5 linked regions of the Macaca fascicularis genome follow. The protein of the gene in region 2 interacts with the protein of the main gene of each other region in a pairwise test. Links are inferred from orthologs where the notes say so. Each region holds a gene or a part of one and is shown on either strand. Other genes may lie near its edges.

Region 1 (3,311 bases), on a different chromosome or scaffold from region 2:
TGTAGCATTGCTTTTTGTCAGAGCATCTAAGAGGAAAAAGTCCCCAAGAGCAGAAGCAGCCTGCCACCGTCCTCAGGGACCACAAAGGGCAGGGCCTGCAGAAGGCGATGCTCATTGTGCAGGAAAGCCTGCGGCCTCAGGCAAGCTGTTCCGATAAGCAGCTGTGGGAGGGAGGGGGAGGAGGGCCGAGGGAGGGGGAGGGGAGGCAGAGGTCACTGTTATCGCCTTGGAAGGCAAGACTTCAGCTGCTGCACTGATGTCTTTTCTCAAGTATGCTCCTGTTTTGCAAGTTTAAAATCTTCCTAAAAGGAGAAAAGTAGGAGCCAGGCTCAAGTTCTACCCTAGCACTGGGCAGCATGCCCTCCCTCTGCCAGCGCGGAGGAGCCTGTCATTCTTGCCCGACAGGAAGACGGAACAGGTGCCATCAGTTCCACGGAGTTCCAGCAATCCTCTGAAACCCTGCGCACCACCTCCCCCGACACAAAGATCCCCTACCCTCAATAAAGAGCATAAGTTTGTTTCAAAAAGTTTATTGTAAAATTCAAAGCTTCAACAGCAGCATCCTTTAGAAAACGAAGCATTGCCCGGATCCGTTTTGAAAAAGCAGCGCAGTTGGCTAAGTCCTTCACGCTCCTGCAACTGTACCAAGTCCAGGGCGCCGCTCCTTCCTGCCGAGCGCAGGCTGCTGAGTCACGCCTGCCCGGCCAGTCTGTCCTTCCTGGCCCTGAGGCCAACGTCCTAGCCTAGGCCTTCCTGGGCGAGCAGCCGCTCCAGACACTTGCAGAGTCCTCAGCTCGGGCCAGCCTGGCCCTGCCGCCGCCGGGCCCCTCCTCGAGAGGCCGCGCCTCCTCACTCTCCAGGCGCCCCCCCCGCCTGCCAGTCTCCACGCCGCACTCGGGCACCCTCGGAGGGCCCCTCCACAGAGCCAGCCGCGCTCTAGGCGCCCCGGGGCGTCACCACGTCGATCAGACCAAGGTCCCCGCCGGGCTGTCACTCGGGGAGGGTGATGCTGGGCACCCAGTCGTTAACGCTGCGGCTCTCCTCGCAAAACAGGCTGAGCTTCTCCAAGGCGGGATCCTTCCAGGCGTCCTCGTTGGGGTTCTGCTGAGAGAGAGCAGGGTCAGCCTGGCTGGCCGCGGGCCGAGGCGGGAACTACACCGGGGCGGGGACCGGACGGGGCTGTACTCACCGAAATGAGGATGCAGTGCAGGTCGCCCGGCGCGCCCGCCTCCTCGCCGGCGCCCACGATAGCCGCCAGCCGCTGCACATCGCCCACGCGCACTATGTCGATGTCGTTCTCGCAGCAGAAAGCCTGGATCAGCGTAAAATGGATCTGCAGCGCGATGTCGCCCTCGTCCTCCTCATCGGCAGCCAGCACGCAGAAGGTCACATTGTCGGGGTCCCTGCGAGGGCAAGACGGGGACCAAGGTCAGAACCGGCAAACCAAGTTCTCCCGCAGCCACCCCTCCCATCCGCCGGTCTCTTCGCCATTCATCCCCGCCCCTGTCTCCCAGCCTGGGTCGCGTCTACACTTACACGTTCAGGACTTTGGCTGACTCGTAGACGCCGGCAGTGAGGCAGCCCTGACGCTGCGCGGACAGCAGCAACTCGTGCAGCGCTTTCCCGGCACCCTGCATCCTGCGGAGGAGCCAGCTAGTGAGCGGGAGACGGCCGTGGGGCGCGGTGGAGCCCCGAGCCCCGGCCACGGGGATTCACCCTTGGCTCTCCAACTCCAACCACACTCCAATCCCGGCTTGGCGCCCGCACCCCGGCTCTCCAACCCGGATCTGACGCCCGCACCCCCGGGCTCGGCTCCTATCCCGCGGATTCCCACCCTGGAGAACCCTGACGGTCGCCGACTGACCAGCCGCTTTCTCAGCGCCCTGAAACCCACCTGTCTGTGCTTTCCGGAACTGTGTCCTGGCCGCGGACTTCTTCCAGAGTCATAGTGCGATCAAACAACAGCAAGTTATCCACAAGCGGAGAGCGCGGAGGGGACGCGGGCGAACACCCTGAGACCAAGAGCTCAGCACGGCGCGCCCACCACCAGCGAGTGCGCCCGGGCTACGCTGCGCGTCCTTATATAGGCTGATGGGTGCGGCGCCGCCAGCTGGCGCGAGGCTGCCCGCCTATTGGCCGGCACCCGCTTTCTGATGTAAATGAGACCGCGAGCCCGCGGCTCGTGCCAGAAGGCCACGTGGGGAGGGGTGCGGGGGATGACAATGCCTCAAATCTGCCGCTTTTGTTGGGGTGTTACCAGGCAGACTGGAGCCTGCAGATTTCATCTCGCCTGGCTTTCTTTTTTTTTTTTTTTTTTTTTTTTTTTGAAGTCCTTAAAAGGAAAAAGTAAAAAAAAAAAAAAAAAAAAAAAAAAAGCCAATCCACAAAAACCTTGTTTGCTAATATGATGCTGCAATTTGCGAAAAGCACCTTTATAGAATCAAAAGGAATTTTATTTCCATTTTTTATTGCTACCTTTCTATTTGTTTCTTTTCTTTAATTTGAAGTTTATGAGACTGTTGCATTGGAGCAGGAAATTAAGGTAAAAACAGGTAACGCCAGTTAAAGGCTTGCAAAAGGCAGTGGGCACAGCCCCCTGCAGCTGACCACTAGCGTCCGGAGCGCGCTGGTAATGCCTGCCAGGCATACTCAATGTGTACATTGAGTAGTCGCTGGAAGATCCTACCCCACCTCCCCGCCCTTGGCCGAGAGCAGCGGGGCGCCGGAGAAGGGGGCGGGCAGGGGCGAGCAGATTGCTGCCGGCGCACGCCGCTCGTTTGCATTTCTATGGAGGGCGCACAATAGCAGAGGTCTGGCGTGTGGCGGTTTGCAGTAGGGACAATCGAGGCTTTCTCTTCATAGCAACACTGTCCACCTGCCGCCGGGTGGGGTGGGCAGGCCCCCGCCGCGCGTGGGGGTCGCCGGGCTGCCTGGCGCGTGGGGTCGAGGCTGAGTGCCACTCCGTGGTCCCTGAGTACGCGCCGCCTGTACTGGCCCTGCTACATGTAATTCCCTTCCACCCGTTCCTCGCACGGGTGCCGAGCAGCCTCGCGAGTTGGGAAGCACAGAGAGCTGCTGCGCAGTCTTCGCGACTGGACGCCCTCTGGCCGGGACCCCGCGGCTGCGGCCCTTGGAGCTTAGGGGATGTAGTTCGGTATCTGTTTCCCGGGGCGCCATCTACAGGCAGGTTAAAAAGATCCTGAATCCCTTTTCTCCTCCCCTCCCCCAACACACACACCCTTGCATTGGCCTGGTGCGGGGGAAGGGCGGTGGAGGGGGTCGGCCACGGAGCTGTCCGGCCGGGCCCACTG
Region 2 (3,516 bases):
AGACTGTGTGGTTAGGAGGTTCTGTAGGTCGATCATTTGCTCCTTCTTTTTCTTCTTAGGGGCATCAGGGCGATTATTTGGGGTCCTCTCTGACTGCTGCCCTTCTAACACAGGTCTGGAAAGCTCCTTATTTTGAAAACATTCTTCTTTTCCCAGCTCTTCTAGTTCTTCCAGCGTCTGTACTCTCTCTGGCCTCTGTAGCAACAGGGGCTCCTCTTCTTCTGTGGCAGGTTCCTCTCTCTGGACCTGGGGAATAGTCCCCTCTGAACTTGCTTTTTGCTTCCTGGACTGATCATTTTCCTTCAATTTCTGAGATAGTACTCTCAATTCAGACAGCACTTCCTGGCTGCTGGAATCTGGGGGAAAAAGAATGAAAGCTGTCAGAAAAGGCCGGGTGCGGTGGCTCACGCCTGTAATCCCAGCACTTTGGGAGGCCGAGGCAGGCAGATCACAAGGTCAGGAGATCGAGACCACGGTGAAACCCTGTCTCTACTAAAAATACAAAAAATTAGCTGGGCATGGTGGCGGGCGCCTGTAGTCCCTGCTACTCAGGAGGCTGAGGCAGGAGAATGGCATAAACCTGGGAGGCGGAGCTTGCAGTGAGCCGAGATCGCGCCACTGCACTCCAGCCTGGGCAACAGAGCGAGACTCCGTCTCAAAAAAAAAAAAAAAAAAAAAAAAAAGAAAGCTGTGTCAGGAAAAGGAGGTATGTACGTTGTCTGGTTGGTAAGCATTTGTTGAGCACCCACCAAGTGCTAGGTACCACATAAGACATTCTAACGAGGACAAACAGGGAAAAGAAGATTCTGTACATTGAATCTCCTAGAGAGTACACTAATCATAGCAGGCAACGGAGTTTGGTAATTAAAAGTAGCATGTGGCCAGGCGCGGTGGCTCATGCCTGTAATCCCAGCACTTTGGGAAGCCGAGGCGGGCAGATCGTGAGGTCAGGAGATCGAGACCTGGCTAACACGGTGAAACCCTGTCTCTACTAAAAATACAAAAAATTATCCAGGCATGGTGGCATGTGCCTGTAGTCTAGCTACTTGGGAGGCTGAGGCAGGAGAATCACTTGAACCAGGTAGGCGGAGGTTGCAGTGAACTGAGATTGCGCCACTGCACTCCAGCCTGGGTGACAGAGCAAGACTCTGTCTCAAAAAAAAAAAAAAAAAAAAAAAAAAAAAACGGAGCATGTGCGATGTTGGATATGGTGGCTCACGCCTGTAATGCCAGCACTTTGGGAGGCCAAGTGGGGAGGACTGCTTGAGCCCAGGAGTTCGAGACCAGCCTAAGCAACATAGTGAGAACTCATCTCTACCACCTCCACTCCCCCAACAACAAAACATTTCCAGGCATGGCAGTGTGCATCTGTAGTTCCAGCTACTTGGGAGGCTAAGCTGGGAGGATCGCTGGAGCCAGAAAGTCAAGGCTGCAGGGAGCTGTGACTGTGCCGCTGCATACTAGCCTGGGCAAACAGGGCAAGACCTGTCTCAAAAAAAAAAAAGAAAAGTAGCATGTTGGAAAGCAGACGTCCTGGGTCCTATTCCCAGCTTTGCCAATGATCCACTGTATGACTGGGACTGTGGCTTAAGTTCCTCGTGCAGTAAACCCCACTTGGGAAGATTGCCCCAAGTTCCAAATTTTAAAAAAGGAAGCCACTTTAACAGGTGGCTTCTGAATGCAACTTCATTGTAATTTATGCTTTACTGCTTATAAAAACCTTATCCAGGATTTTCATCTTTTTTTTTTTTTTTTTTTTTTTTTGAGACGGAGTCTCGCTCTGTCGCCCAGGCTGGAGTGCAGTGGTGCAATCTCGGCTCACTGCAAGCTCCGCCTCCTGCATTCACGTCATTCTCCTGCCTCAGCCTCCTGAGTAGCTGGGACCACAGGTGCCCGCCACCGTGCCCGGCTAATGTTTTGTAGTTTTAGTAGAGACGGGGTTTCACCGTGTTAGCCAGGATGGTCTCGATCTCCTGATCTCGTGATCCACCCATCTCGACCTCCCAAAGTGCTGGGATTACAGGTGTGAGCTACCGCACCCGGCCAGGATTTTCATCTTGACTCAAGAATTTCTACTCCGTATCTTAAAGCAGTATTTCATAATCTGCTGTTGCTGAGTCAAGGGATGAAGTAGCGGCTTTATCCAGTGGATGTAGCTCACACTTCCACTGGCAACATCTGAGCAAATAACACTAGTCTTAAGAGTCTGGAGGGGCTGGCTGGGCACAGTGGCTCACACCTGTAATCCCAGCACTTTGGGAGGCTGAGGTGGGTGAATCACTTGAAGCCAGGAGTTTGAGACCAGCCTGACCAACATGGTGAAACCCCGTCTCTACTAAAAATACAAAAATTAGCTGGGCGTGGTAGCGCATGCCTGTAATCCCAGCTACTTGCGGGCTGAGGCAGGAGGATTGCTTGAACCTGGGAGGTGGAGCTTGCAGTGAGCCAAGGTTGCACCACTGCACTTCAGCCTGGATGACAGACACCTGTCTCAAAAAAAAAAGAGTCTGGAGGGAAACCTGGCAGTGACATGGTTCTAAACTGGCTTTTTCATTGACTCAAGTTGCCACCATTCCCAAGTTGATCCTGCTCTCTAGCTTTGGCATGAAGCCATTGTAGCTCCTTAGATCTGGCCTTTGGACACATGGATGTTTATTTCTCAAGAATCAGGTTTCCTTGTTCATTTTCATTGGGGTCCGTGACTTTCCAGTATTTTAGGACACTCTTGGAAGGTCTGAGAAAATTTGATTTATTTACTGTCTAAAGAAATGCAAATCTGTCTTTCATCCTTTCATATCACAGTCAGCCGCTCTGCACATTTAGATAGATGGTCAGTTGTTGAGGGGGCTTAAGAGAAAGCCACTAGGGTCCTGTGGCCATATATGGACACCCCAACAATCTCAGCCCACTGTGCTGCTTTCCAAAATTCTCTCAGAAGTGACTGCTTGCAATTATTAATCCCAGAAATATCCAGCCAAAACTATTAAGTAAAGGTCACCACAATACATTCTAAATTATAGCTCTTTTAAAATAAATTTTTGTATGTGGAAACCTGAAAAAAACAAAGGAAAAAAAAAAAAGGAGTCTGGGTGCGGTGGCTCACACTTGTAATCCTAACACTTTGGGAGGCTGAGGTGAGAGGATAGCTTGAGGCCAGGAATTCAAGACCAGCCTGGGCAACAGAGCAAGACCTCAGTCTCTACAAAAACGTAGCTCAGCATGGTGGCACATACATGTAGTCCCAGCTAGTTGGGAGGCTGAGCCAAGAGGATCGCTTGAGCCTGGGAGGTCTTAGGCTGCAGTAAGGTATGATTGTACTACTGTACTCCAGCCTGGATGACAGAGCAAAACCCTGTCTCTTAAACAAAAAAAAAAGTAGAAAAAAAATAATTTTTTTTTGCCATGTAAAACCAGATTTTTGCCGTCATCTAAATGCATTCCTATGTGGAACCAAACCAGACCTGGTAATTTGTCCAGATAGCCAAGTGATTTCTCAATGTAGGTAGTTTTCCTAGG
Region 3 (3,516 bases), on a different chromosome or scaffold from region 2:
GTAGGAAGATTTCAGTTTTAGATAAGTTTTTTTAGCTTTACAGTTAACAAACAAAAAATTAAACCCTATTTAATTTCTAGCCCTAAATTAAGTCCTATAAATAAAGCACATAGAGTCCAATAGATGTTCAAAGCATATAAAGAATAGTCAACCCCTTACCTTTAAGGATGTCAGTTGATCTGCCCACATTTCTATTATAGGAACAAGATGCTCAAATCCACAATCTTGAATAAGATCTTTATTAAAATTTTGGGCTCCCCCTTTGCTCTGTTTATAAATTATTACTGGAGCTCTTGGATTGTGGATAATTGAATTGATGCTACACAGCACCTTTAAAAAAAACATAGTGTATTTAGTCAAAATATTTATCCTATGCCTACAAAGTTATATATTTTAAAGGAGTGCTTTATGTCTATATATATTATATACATGCATTTCATTAAATATACAAAGAATTATCACAAGGAATTGGTTCATGCAATTATGAAGACTGACAAGTCTCAAGATTTGCAGTGAGTAAGTGAAGACCCAGAAAAGCTAATGGATATTTGCAGTCCAAACACAGGCAGACTGAGACCCCTGCAAGTGCGAATGTTTCAGTTTGAGTCTGAAGGCAGGAAAAAAAAGTGTCCCATCTTGAAAGCAGTCAGCGGGGAGGAGTTCCCTCTTATTCAGCCTTTTGTTCTACTCAGGCCTTCAAATGATTGGATGAGGCCTACCCCATTAGGAAAGGCAGTTTGCTTCACTAAGTCTACTGATTCAGATGTCAATCTCATCCAGAAGCATCTTCCCAGACACACATCCAGAATAATGTTTAACCAAATATTGGGCATCCTATGCCACAGTAAAGTTGAAACAAAATTAACTAATACAAACACCCATATAATCACTACCTAGGTTCAACAATTGTTAGTATTGTGCCATATTTGCTATCTATATTTTGAGGTGAACCATTTGAAGAAACTCTGCACCCTGAAATAATAAAGCGTGCATCTTTTAAAAGTAGGCATATTCTCCTACAAACCCACAAGACCATTATCAGACTATTTAAGGAAATTAACAGTAATCCCCAGGCTTAGTATGGTGGCTCATGCCTGTAATCCCAGGTTGAGGCAGGAAGATCACTTGAGCCCAGGAATTCAGGGCTGCAGTGAGCTATGATAATGCATTCCAGCCTGGGCAACAGAGCAAGACCCTGTCTCCAAAAATAATATCATTGATGCCTGGATTGAATTTTAAATATCTTAATATATTAAGATAGTATACTATTTGACTATAACCCTCTCCCCATAAGTGATGAGTTCTACCTTAGATATCATCCAAGGATAAAAAGGGAGACCCCCAAAAAGCATGTTTAAAGAGAGAAGAATAAAGCCATTTCCTATTACCACCATCAAGTTCAGCCTATTTAATAAAAAGTTTCACAATATAAAGATAGCATTTTGCTCCTGAATCTTCGTCCCTGGTCATACTTCAAGATATAACTAATAGGCTTCCTGGTAATATGACTTAATATGTTTATTATATTACTTCAGATGTTTATTTAGAAGCTTTTTAAGTCCAAATTAGTGTAATTCAATATTTCACTTCAGATTGATGTATGTATATATGTTTTATTTATTTATTTGACAGAGTCTCACTCTGTGGCCTAAGATGGAGTGCAGTGGTGCGAACAGAGCTCACTGCAGCGTTGAATTCCTGGGCTCAAGTGATCCTCCCATGTCAGCCTCTCAAGTGCTAGGACTACAGGTGCACGCCACCATGCCCAACTAATTAATTTTTTTTTCTAGAGATGTGGTCTCACTATATTGCCCAGGCTGATCTCAGACTCCTGGCCTCTAGCAATCCTCCTGCCTCAGTCACCCAAAGTGTTAAGATTACAGGCGTGAGCCACCATACCCGGCCTGAATTCCCCCTTTAAAGGACAAAGTCTCTCAAATTGAGTCTCAGAAACAAAATGAAATCCAGTTACATACTGGTACAAGAAAGTCTAAAACAAAACAGTTTTCAGAAAGGTGCTTGGTTCCCATTTACAATAGCAATAAAAGTTATAAAATACCTAGGAAATAGCAAGGTATTTCCTAACAAGAAATATGCAAGAGCTAAATTTAAAAATATACAACACTTTATTGAAGACTATAAAAGATGACCCTGATGAAAGTACATATTTCTCTGAATGTGATGATTCAAAAAGGTTAAGGTGTCATTTCTCCAAATATTAATCCATAAAGTCAATTCAGTTTTAGTTCATCTCAATGGGATTTAGTTTTTAATTTGAAAACTGTTCATCCAGAAGAATAAATGTGCTAAAAATATAGCCAATAAAATTTTTTTTTAAATGACAGGATACTTGCCTCAAGGGCTATTAAAACTTATAACTATAGAAATTAATATATGGAAACAGTTGAGAAATGCAACAGACTAGAGAATCTAAAAACAAATCTGTGCATATAAAGGAATATGATCTATGATAAAATGTTATTTCAATAAAGTAGACAAAAAAGTAGCGTATTAGAGACTGCAAACAAAGACACCCAGAGAATCCAGGTACGAGTATAAATGAGTGAAGTAAGGATGAATAGCAACTGGCTAACTACAGAACACATGCTCATATCTGACAAGGGAAAGGCCTAATTCTGCTGTGATAATAACCATGCAGGAATTTGTTGCCAGATCTTCTGACTTTTTAAGAGAAATTAGAAATAGCAGCCTAGAAAAAATAAAATATCTTAATTTTTTAAAAAGTGAATAATCTAAAATTTAAAAATCTTATGTGTACCCAATAAAATATGAGTGAAAGTCCAGTTCAGTCACTAAACTACCAGGTTTAACTGCTCAGCTATTCAATAAATGATCTGTAAAACTAGGAAGGTGAGATTCCCTATATCACACCATATAGAAAATTAATTTCAGATGAACTAAGGTCTCTACACAAAAACAAAGCCATACAAGGACCCTAAGAAAACAGATTTACTTATATAATAATAATAGCAACAAAAGAAACAAGAAGAGGGAAAATGGCTTACAGGGGGAAGGAAGGAAAAGGATTATAAAATCTTTTAAAAATCTTAAAGCTCTTTACTAACCTGCTTTGAACTAGGCCCAGAGTCTCCTTTAAGTAGTAAGATGAAGTCTACAATGTTTTTAGTCAAACAGTTAGTTATATCACAGAAAGACAAAACAGAATAAGTACACATAAATATGAGGTGCAAGTATTCCTTACCAACTGATAATTTATTACACTGCAACTGATAACCAAGATTTATGACAAACATCAGTCTTTTTGTCATGAAAAATCAATTCAATACCTGAAAGTATCTCTGGTCAATTAGGGCCTGTTGCTGATTATATTTGCTGGGCTCATCTTTTTTCTCTGTGTCCTCAGCCTTCTTAGGACTAATAAGCTCCTGTAATCTAAAAGGGAGAAAAAAATCAAGATAATGCAAAATTATTTCCTAGACACTGGACCAAGATGATAAACTAAGTAAATGATCCAGTCACCCTCCCAACAGCCTT
Region 4 (3,516 bases), on a different chromosome or scaffold from region 2:
AGCTGAACCCAGTACCAGAATGCCGTGTTCCACTGGCTGTATGGTGCCCTTTCCACTGTGCTCCCAATCACGTGTCTTCTCTCTCCATTTCCAGCCTTGTTAATTTTGTGTGCCACACTTGCTTCAAGAGGCAGGAGAAGCTCCATCGCTGTGGGCAGTGCAAGTTTGCCCATTACTGCGACCGCACCTGCCAGAAAGATGCTTGGTTGAACCACAAGAATGAGTGTTCGGCCATCAAGAGATATGGGAAAGTACCCAATGAGAACATCAGGTGAGAGCTGGGCCCCATGGTGGTGCTTCAAATTTCCAAATGTCAGGCTGGAATGGCCTCTGTAACGGCATTCCCAGATCTAAGGAAGCCAAGCTGAGTGCAAGTCAGGAAAGAGCCTCAAAGACTGGATATGGTCACTTCTGTTCATTCCCTTAAGGTCTAACAGGGAGAACTGGCTGTTGACAGCAGTGATTCCAAACTGCAGCCACAGGCTGAAACTGGCTTGCAGACTCCTGCTGTAGGGCTCCCCAGTGTTTAGTTTATTTATGTATTTTGGATACAGGGTCTTGCTCTGTTGCCCAGGATGGAGTGCAGAGGCCCTGATCACAGCTCACTTGACCTCCTAGGCTCAAGTGATCCTCCCACCTCAGCCTCTCGACTAGCTGGGACCACCGGCATGCACCACCACACCTGGTTAATTTTTGTATTTTTTATAGAGATGGTGTTTTGTCATGTTGCCCAGGGTAGCCTCGAACTCCTGAGATCAAGCAATCCACCCGTCTCAGCCTCCCAAAGTGCTGGTATTATAGCCGTGAGCCACCATGCCCAGCCAAGGGGCAAGTGTTTTTAAATTGATCCACCAATGTTTAAAAATTGGGAAATTTCACATTTTAAAATTAGGATTTTTGACTTCTCTTGGAAAACAAAAACAAACAAAAAAAACTGAAGATCTGGCAAAATAGGCTAGAGCTCAGTAGTATCTGCCACCTTTGAAAAAATACAAAGCTTTCTAAGTCACAGCAGCACCACTGCTCCCTGTGGTCATACACGTTACACCAGAGAGTGCATTTGAGTTTGCAACTAACGGCCTTTCCTGGTGGCCATCATCAGAAATCTTAAGGCCAGTAGCTCCAGTGCAAGAGATTCCCAAGTCCTGGAGGCTTGGTGCTGGGCTGCAGGGAGATGCTCAGGAAGCCAGCACTGCAGAGCAAAGGAGATGGAAATGGTGACTGGGAGCATTTTCACTGTGTGCGTAGGGTGTGAAGTTAAGGTACAGAATGGAATTGTCATATCATGATGATTTTTAGGAACCTGCAGGATGAAATGGCTCAGTCAACCTCTCCATGCCCCTTAGCTCCATCTACTGAAACAATACATATGCTTCAAGAACTAAAGTAAATGGCACCTCCTGTGACAGTTATTGAGTTGAAATCTATCACGCATTGACCTCTATTCTCTGAGCTTCATAACCCTTTCCTCATTATTTGGAGGCAGCAGATCTTCCATGTGCTGAGTTGTATTTTCCCCAGTGCTGCCCTGGGCTCCCTGTGAAGACACGTCAGTTTCCAGGCACCTGGAGTCCCACGCGGGGCATTTCTCCAGAAATAACTCAGTGACTCAAATGGGAGAAATCGGGAAAATGAAAAAGGTTCTGGAAACAGATGGTTGGTGATGGTTGCACAACAGTGTGAGTGTGCTTAATGCCATCAAACTGTATACTTTAAAATGGTTAAAATGGTTCAAAAAGAGGTGGGGGACAGAAAGGACCCTGAGGTGATGACACTGTTTAGTATCTTGACTGTGCAGGTGGATACACGAAGCTACATAGGTGATAACATTGTATATAATTAAACACACATACACATTCATGAATATAAGCAAAATGGAAGAAATCTGAATAACAGAGGTGGGATAATATTCTGGCTGTGATGTTAGTTTTCCAGAATGTTACCATTAGAGAAAACTGGGCAAAATGTACAAGGGATCTCTTCGTATTGTTTTCCAACTGCCTGTAAATCTGCAATTATCTCAATTAAAATTTCAATTAAAAAAAAAAAAAAAAACGAGGAGAGGGCCTGTGCTTTGCCCAGCAGGTCTCTCCTCAGGAACAGGATCTGTCCTAGACCACCATCCCCTCCCTAGGTGCCTGAAAAGTGAGCAGTCAGTGGGTGGCAGGAACATTAAAGTGTCCCTGGGTTATAAGCTTCATCACAGGCCACCTAATAGTTAACAAAGAGGCCTTTGGGGTGAAGTACACCCCTCTGTCTCATACTCAAGTCCCTGTGTCTCTACAGGTCTCCTCCTGTCCCACCTGGCCTCCTGCTCTTCCCGCAGAGCCCCGCTCCAGCCAGGCCAGGTCCTGCACGTGGCATGCCCGTGGCTGCCTCGAGGCCTCTCCTCACTGTTTCCCCACCTAGATGGCCTTCTCCACTTTCACGCTACCCAATCATTAAGAATATCAATACCGGCCGGGCGCAGTGGTTCAAGCCTGTAATCCCAGTACTTTGGGAAGCCGAGACCGGCGGATCACGAGGTCAGGAGATCGAGACCATCCTGGTTAACACGGTGAAACCCCGTCTCTACTAAAAAAATACAAAAAACTAGCTGGGTGAAGTTGCAGGCGCCTGTAGTCCCAGCTACTCGGGAGGCTGAGGCAGGAGAATGGCGTAAACCCGGGAGGCGGAGCTTGCAGTGAGCTGAGATCCGGCCACTGCATTCCAGCCTGGGCGACAGAGCGAGACACCGTCTCAAAAAAAAATAATAATAATAATATCAACACCTTCACATATAATGCAGACACCTATTACCTCACTTTGTCTTCTGAATACCTCTGGAGGTTAGCACAGCAGGGAATATTTTCCCTATTTTACTGGCCACCAGATAGATTCAGAGAGGTCAAGTGACTTGCCCAGGTTCACACAGTAAGAAGTGGAAACAGGTCATTAGACTCCTGATGCAAGGCTCATCACAGTAGGCCACAATGTTAAGAGAGACCCAGGCTGCCGCACCTCTCTGTGTCCCCAGACCCCATGGGACCTGGCTCCTGCCCAAACCTCCACCTTTATTTGGTCTCCATTTCTTGCTCCCTGTGCTCCCGCCACCTCTACCTTCCTGCTGTTTCTCCATCAGACCAAGCTCATTCCTTTGTACTCACTGCTCTCTCCCGAAGTGCTCTTTCTCCAGTGTCACAGAGCCAGCTCCTCCACCCCTTCCAATTCCAGCTCAAATGTGCCTCCCCTGTGACACTTCCTTGGAAGACCTTAGCTTCCCCACCCCAGTCACTCTCTATCATGTCACCCTGTATTATTTTTTCTGCATAGCACTTTCTATGTAAAATGTGCTTGTTTACTTACCTCTCCCCCACTATATGAAGCATCACAATAGAATAAATTCCATCTATCTAGTTTAAAACCATATCTTGGGCCCAACATTGTGCCTGGCATGCATGAGACATCCAGTAAATGTGTGTTGAATGAATGAATGCAGCTGTAGTGCCCCCCTGCTGCTGCCCATCCCACAGGCTG
Region 5 (4,258 bases), on a different chromosome or scaffold from region 2:
TTAAAAAAAAGTCAAAGAGGCAAGTGTGTCTTAGGGAGTCTACTGGCATTATTACCCTCCATCAAGGAAGGGGTCCATTAGACCTGTCCCAAGGTCTCTCCTCTACCCTAGCCTATAAGGTGGCTGTAGAAGCAAAACTGTGAGCCACCTCTCAGCCTCTTGCTACCTGCAAAGCACTCTAGACTCTTTATTTATTTATTTTTTCTTGAGACAAGGTCTGGCTCTATGGCCCAGGCTGGAGTGCAGTGGCACCATCTCAGCTCACTGCTACATCTGCATCCTGGGCTCAAGCCATCCTTCCACCTCAGCCTCCCAAGTAGCTGGGACTACAGGTGCACACCACCACACCCAGCTAATTTTTGTATTTGTTTGTAGAGACAGGATTTCATCCTGTTGGCCAGGCTGGTCTCAAACTCCTGACCTCAAGTGATACGCCTACCTAGGCCTCCCAAAGTGCTGGTATTACAGGCGTGAGCCACTGTGCCCAGTCATGGACTCTTTTAATATACATCTTCATACACACACGCACACACACACACACACACACACGAGTTGCAAACAGAAAAGACACACACATTGGCATGTATGCACAGACACACGCATAGATGTCCACACAGTTGCACACATGTGACAGGGCTGCCCCAGGGGTCCTGGGAAAGACAGAGTTCTACACTCTCATTAGAGGAGACAAACGAGTGAGCCCTGAAGTGGGACAGAGAAGGAGACTATGGGCATGAAAATGGCAATCCCCTGGTCCTTACAGCAAGGGTGGAGATCCAGACCCTAATCCTGGGGCGCTGCATCCACAGTGGGCATGGTGCTGGTGCCTGCTTGGGTGATCCTTAAAGAAAGGTCCCGGGGGCTTTGGTTCATGGATCCTTGAGCTAGGAGTTAAAGATCCAGGCCCCTGGGACCCTTGGGAAGCAGAGCAGGAAGACTGAACTGGTTCTGAGGGAGAATGGGCTGGGGGCTTGGTCTCTGGTCCTGAGAGAGAAGGTGCCCAGACTTCTGGATCTGAAAGAGGAGGGGACTGGGTCTCAACTGCTGCCATCTTGACGGGACATTTTGGAGGCCTGTATTCCTGAGCCCTCAATAGAGGAATTTACTAGGGGACGGGGGTCTCTGATGCTTGCATCCTTGGAGAAGGACAAAACTGTGAGTGTCTGGGTCTAAAGAGGGTGAGAGTCCTGCGGGAGGACTCAAAATCCACAACGGGCTGAGCCCATAGCAGGACTCCTGGCTGGGCCCTTCATGGGGCGGGACGCCTGGAATCTCCAGGGGCGGGGGCCTGGCGCAGGCTCCCGCCCGGGGTTCCCGAGCTGCTCCACTCTGCGCGGAGCCGCCACGCTATTGTCCTAGCCAGGAAGGCGGGGCCGGCGCGGGGCGTGGCTGGCGGCGCCGGCGCAGCCCGGGGGCGGCGGGAGGAGGAGGTGGCGGCGGTGGCGCTGGGAGCTCCTGTCACCGCTGGGGCCGGGCCGGGCGGGAGTGCAGGGGACGTGAGGGCTCAAGGGCCGGGACATGGGGCCAGCCAGCCCCGCTGCTCGCGGTCTAAGTCGCCGCCCGGGCCAGCCGCCGCTGCCGCTGCTGCTGCCACTATTGCTGCTGCTTCTGCGCGCGCAGCCCGCCATCGGGAGCCTGGCCGGTGGGAGCCCCGGCGCGGCCGAGGTGAGGCCGGGCCGGGTCCTGGGGGATGGGGGAAGGGGCGGGACCGGGTCTTTGGACGCCAGCGCGGACATGTACAGGACAGAAAGCGCGGTCTTTCCAGCCAGGTGGTCAGCCCCCAGGCGCCCCCAACCGCATTTATGAACCCAGGGTTCCAGGCCCCAGCTCCCCCATCCTCCGACGTCCCAGCCCCCTCCCACCCCGAGCATAGGAACTGGTCTATTCAGAGCCCCTGGTCCCAGAAGTCCAGCCCCCTCTCCAGACCCAGGTGACTAGGTCCCAACCCCCTCCCTCCTGGACATAGGACCCACCAAGCAGCGAGGCACTTAGATCCAATAATCCAGACCCCTTGTATTCTCTGGACCCATATGGAGGCCCTTGCAGCCTCCTAGGACCCAGGAGTCCGGTCCTTCAGTCACCACCCACCCCAACCAGATGTAGCTCTCCAGTCCTCAAGGACCTGGTGTCCAGGACTGTAGGCCCCTGAAGCCAGGCCTTATCAGCTTTGCACCCTGCAACCGGAGCCTGAGCAAGGGATGGAGGGAGGAGGGGCCAGAACGCCTGGGTTCAGGCCTCCTCCGCGATTCAGGTTTAACCCCTTCGGGCTCCAGAGCGGCTGAGCTGGGGTCGGGGCGGAGTCTGTCTCCGCGGCAACAAGGCAGAAAGAATCCCGGGGGACCCGGGTCGCCATAGCAACGGGAGAGCTAGGGCGCCCCCGCCCTACGGGAGCTGTTTCCCAGGGAACGGTGCCTCCATGGAGGCGGTGTGCACAACGGTGCTTGGGGGAGGGGGCTGGTGCTGGGGGTCTCGGTCCTAGGGAGCAAAGAACCAGGGGACCCTCATGCCAACGCCCCCCGGGCCCTCATTATCCCCTCCACTTCCATCCAGGCCCAGGGGTCGGCCCAGGTGGCTGGACTATGCGGGCGCCTAACCCTTCACCGGGACCTGCGCACCGGCCGCTGGGAACCAGACCCACAGCGCTCTCGACGCTGTCTCCGGGACCCGCAGCGCGTGCTGGAGTACTGCAGACAGGTGGGCGGGGCCGAGCGGGAGGGGCGGGGCCAGCGGGAAAGCGGGCCCCAAACGAGGCGGGGCCGCCCGTAGAAAGCTACACTTGAAAAAGGCGTGGTCCAAGGTGCCGCGGGATCTAAGACGTGGAAGCTAGCAGACGTGGCCAATAAAGAGGTGCAACTATGCTAGGGCAGGGGACCTGTTTTGAAATACTAAGTCAGGAAAGGGGGAGAACCGCGAGATAGCCAGAGAAGAAGTGGAATTTAGGAATCTGGTGGTCTTTGTAAAAAGCAGAGGTGTAGTGGGGAGTGGCGAAAGGATAGGCGGGGCTAAGACAGAAAGAGACCTTAAGGACCAGCGAGATGGGGAAAGGGGTGGAGCCCAATGAAAGCGCGGAGAGCTGGGGGGCGTGGCCACGAAAAGACAAGTCTGTAATGGGAAGGGAGAGCTTTGGAGAGGCGAAATAGAGGAAAAGGCAGGGCTAAAAGGAGGGTGAGACCTTTGGGGAGACGAATCTGACTGCGGGGAGGGGTGACCAGAGAGGTGGGCTTAGAGGGACCTTCAGAAAGAAACAGCACAGGAAAAAAGATAGCCTTGAAAACGGACCTGGCCGGGCGCAGTGGCTCACGCCTGTCATCGCAGCACTTGGGGAGGCGGAGGCGGACGGATCACCTGAGGTCAGAAGTTCGAGACCAGCCTGGCCAACATGGCGAAACCCTGTCTTTACTAAAAATACAAAAATTAGCCGGGCATGGTGGTGCGTGCCTGTAATCCCAACTACTCGGGAGGCTGAGACAGGAGAATAGCTTGAACCTGGGAGGAGGAAGTTGCAGTGAGCCGAGATTGTACCATTGCACTCCAGCCTGGGCGACAAGAGCAAATCTCCGAAAGAGAGAAAGAGAGAAAGACAGAGAGAGAGAGAGAGAAAGGAGGGAGGGAGGGAGGGAAGAAAGGGGACCTGACTACTGGAAAGGGGTGGCTGGCAGAGGCGGGGCTGTGGGCTGATTGCCCCCATTTAACCCCCCCAGATGTACCCGGAGCTGCAGATCGCACGTGTAGAGCAGGCTACCCAGGCCATCCCCATGGAGCGCTGGTGCGGGGGTGCCCGGAGCGGCAGCTGCACCCACCCCCACCACCAGGTTGTGCCCTTCCGCTGCCTGCGTGAGTCCCAGGCGGGGAGAGGGGAACTGAGGTGGGAGTTTCCGAGGGGCAAAATTCTGAGCCCCTCTCTCGGGCCCACATTAAGGGGGTGGGTGCTTGTGTCCTAAGTGGGTCAGAGAAGCCTCTGAGGATAAAATATCTGGATTCTGAGGAGGGTGGGGTTGGTGCTGTAGGAGGGTCTCACCCTGGTGTCCCGTGCTTCCCCAGCTGGTGAATTTGTGAGTGAGGCCCTGCTGGTGCCTGAAGGCTGCCGGTTCTTGCACCAGGAGCGCATGGACCAATGCGAGAGTTCAACCCGGAGGCATCAGGAGGCACAGGAGGTCAGGACCTTGGCCCACCCGTCCCCAGCCCCCAGAACCCAGGAACCAGGACCCCAACACCCTCCTCCACCAGAACCGAGGGTCTGGGCCACCAGTATCCTCTT

Evidence for each region.
Region 1: the proteins of UTP14A (region 2) and GADD45G interact in binary tests that used the Homo sapiens proteins (3 or more experiments, as listed by UniProt). The link is inferred for Macaca fascicularis from reciprocal best matches to the Homo sapiens genes UTP14A and GADD45G.
Region 3: the proteins of UTP14A (region 2) and CEP70 interact in a two-hybrid assay, tested with the Homo sapiens proteins (2 studies listed by BioGRID and IntAct). The two-hybrid records come from large-scale screens. The link is inferred for Macaca fascicularis from reciprocal best matches to the Homo sapiens genes UTP14A and CEP70.
Region 4: the proteins of UTP14A (region 2) and SMYD1 interact in binary tests that used the Homo sapiens proteins (3 or more experiments, as listed by UniProt). The link is inferred for Macaca fascicularis from reciprocal best matches to the Homo sapiens genes UTP14A and SMYD1.
Region 5: the proteins of UTP14A (region 2) and APLP1 interact in a two-hybrid assay, tested with the Homo sapiens proteins (2 studies listed by BioGRID and IntAct). The link is inferred for Macaca fascicularis from reciprocal best matches to the Homo sapiens genes UTP14A and APLP1.

What each region holds. Positions count from the first base shown.
Region 1 is NC_088389.1:119,949,126-119,952,436, reverse strand, and holds GADD45G (growth arrest and DNA damage-inducible protein GADD45 gamma), read right to left. Parts: upstream 2,058-3,311; 5' UTR 1,948-2,057; coding exon 1,895-1,947; intron 1,639-1,894; coding exon 1,537-1,638; intron 1,404-1,536; coding exon 1,190-1,403; intron 1,102-1,189; coding exon 991-1,101; 3' UTR 515-990; downstream 1-514. UniProt on the Homo sapiens protein: Involved in the regulation of growth and apoptosis. Mediates activation of stress-responsive MTK1/MEKK4 MAPKKK.
Region 2 is NC_088395.1:136,191,751-136,195,266, reverse strand, and holds part of UTP14A (U3 small nucleolar RNA-associated protein 14 homolog A), read right to left. Parts: intron 357-3,516; coding exon 1-356. UniProt on the Homo sapiens protein: May be required for ribosome biogenesis.
Region 3 is NC_088376.1:41,346,264-41,349,779, forward strand, and holds part of CEP70 (centrosomal protein of 70 kDa), read right to left. Parts: intron 3,415-3,516; coding exon 3,309-3,414; intron 331-3,308; coding exon 160-330; intron 1-159.
Region 4 is NC_088387.1:22,921,629-22,925,144, reverse strand, and holds part of SMYD1 (histone-lysine N-methyltransferase SMYD1), read left to right. Parts: intron 1-94; coding exon 95-271; intron 272-3,512; coding exon 3,513-3,516. UniProt on the Homo sapiens protein: Methylates histone H3 at 'Lys-4' (H3K4me), seems able to perform both mono-, di-, and trimethylation. Acts as a transcriptional repressor. Essential for cardiomyocyte differentiation and cardiac morphogenesis.
Region 5 is NC_088393.1:43,098,530-43,102,787, forward strand, and holds the start of APLP1 (amyloid beta precursor like protein 1), read left to right. Parts: upstream 1-1,457; 5' UTR 1,458-1,518; coding exon 1,519-1,665; intron 1,666-2,550; coding exon 2,551-2,694; intron 2,695-3,701; coding exon 3,702-3,834; intron 3,835-4,041; coding exon 4,042-4,154; intron 4,155-4,258. UniProt on the Homo sapiens protein: May play a role in postsynaptic function. The C-terminal gamma-secretase processed fragment, ALID1, activates transcription activation through APBB1 (Fe65) binding. Couples to JIP signal transduction through C-terminal binding.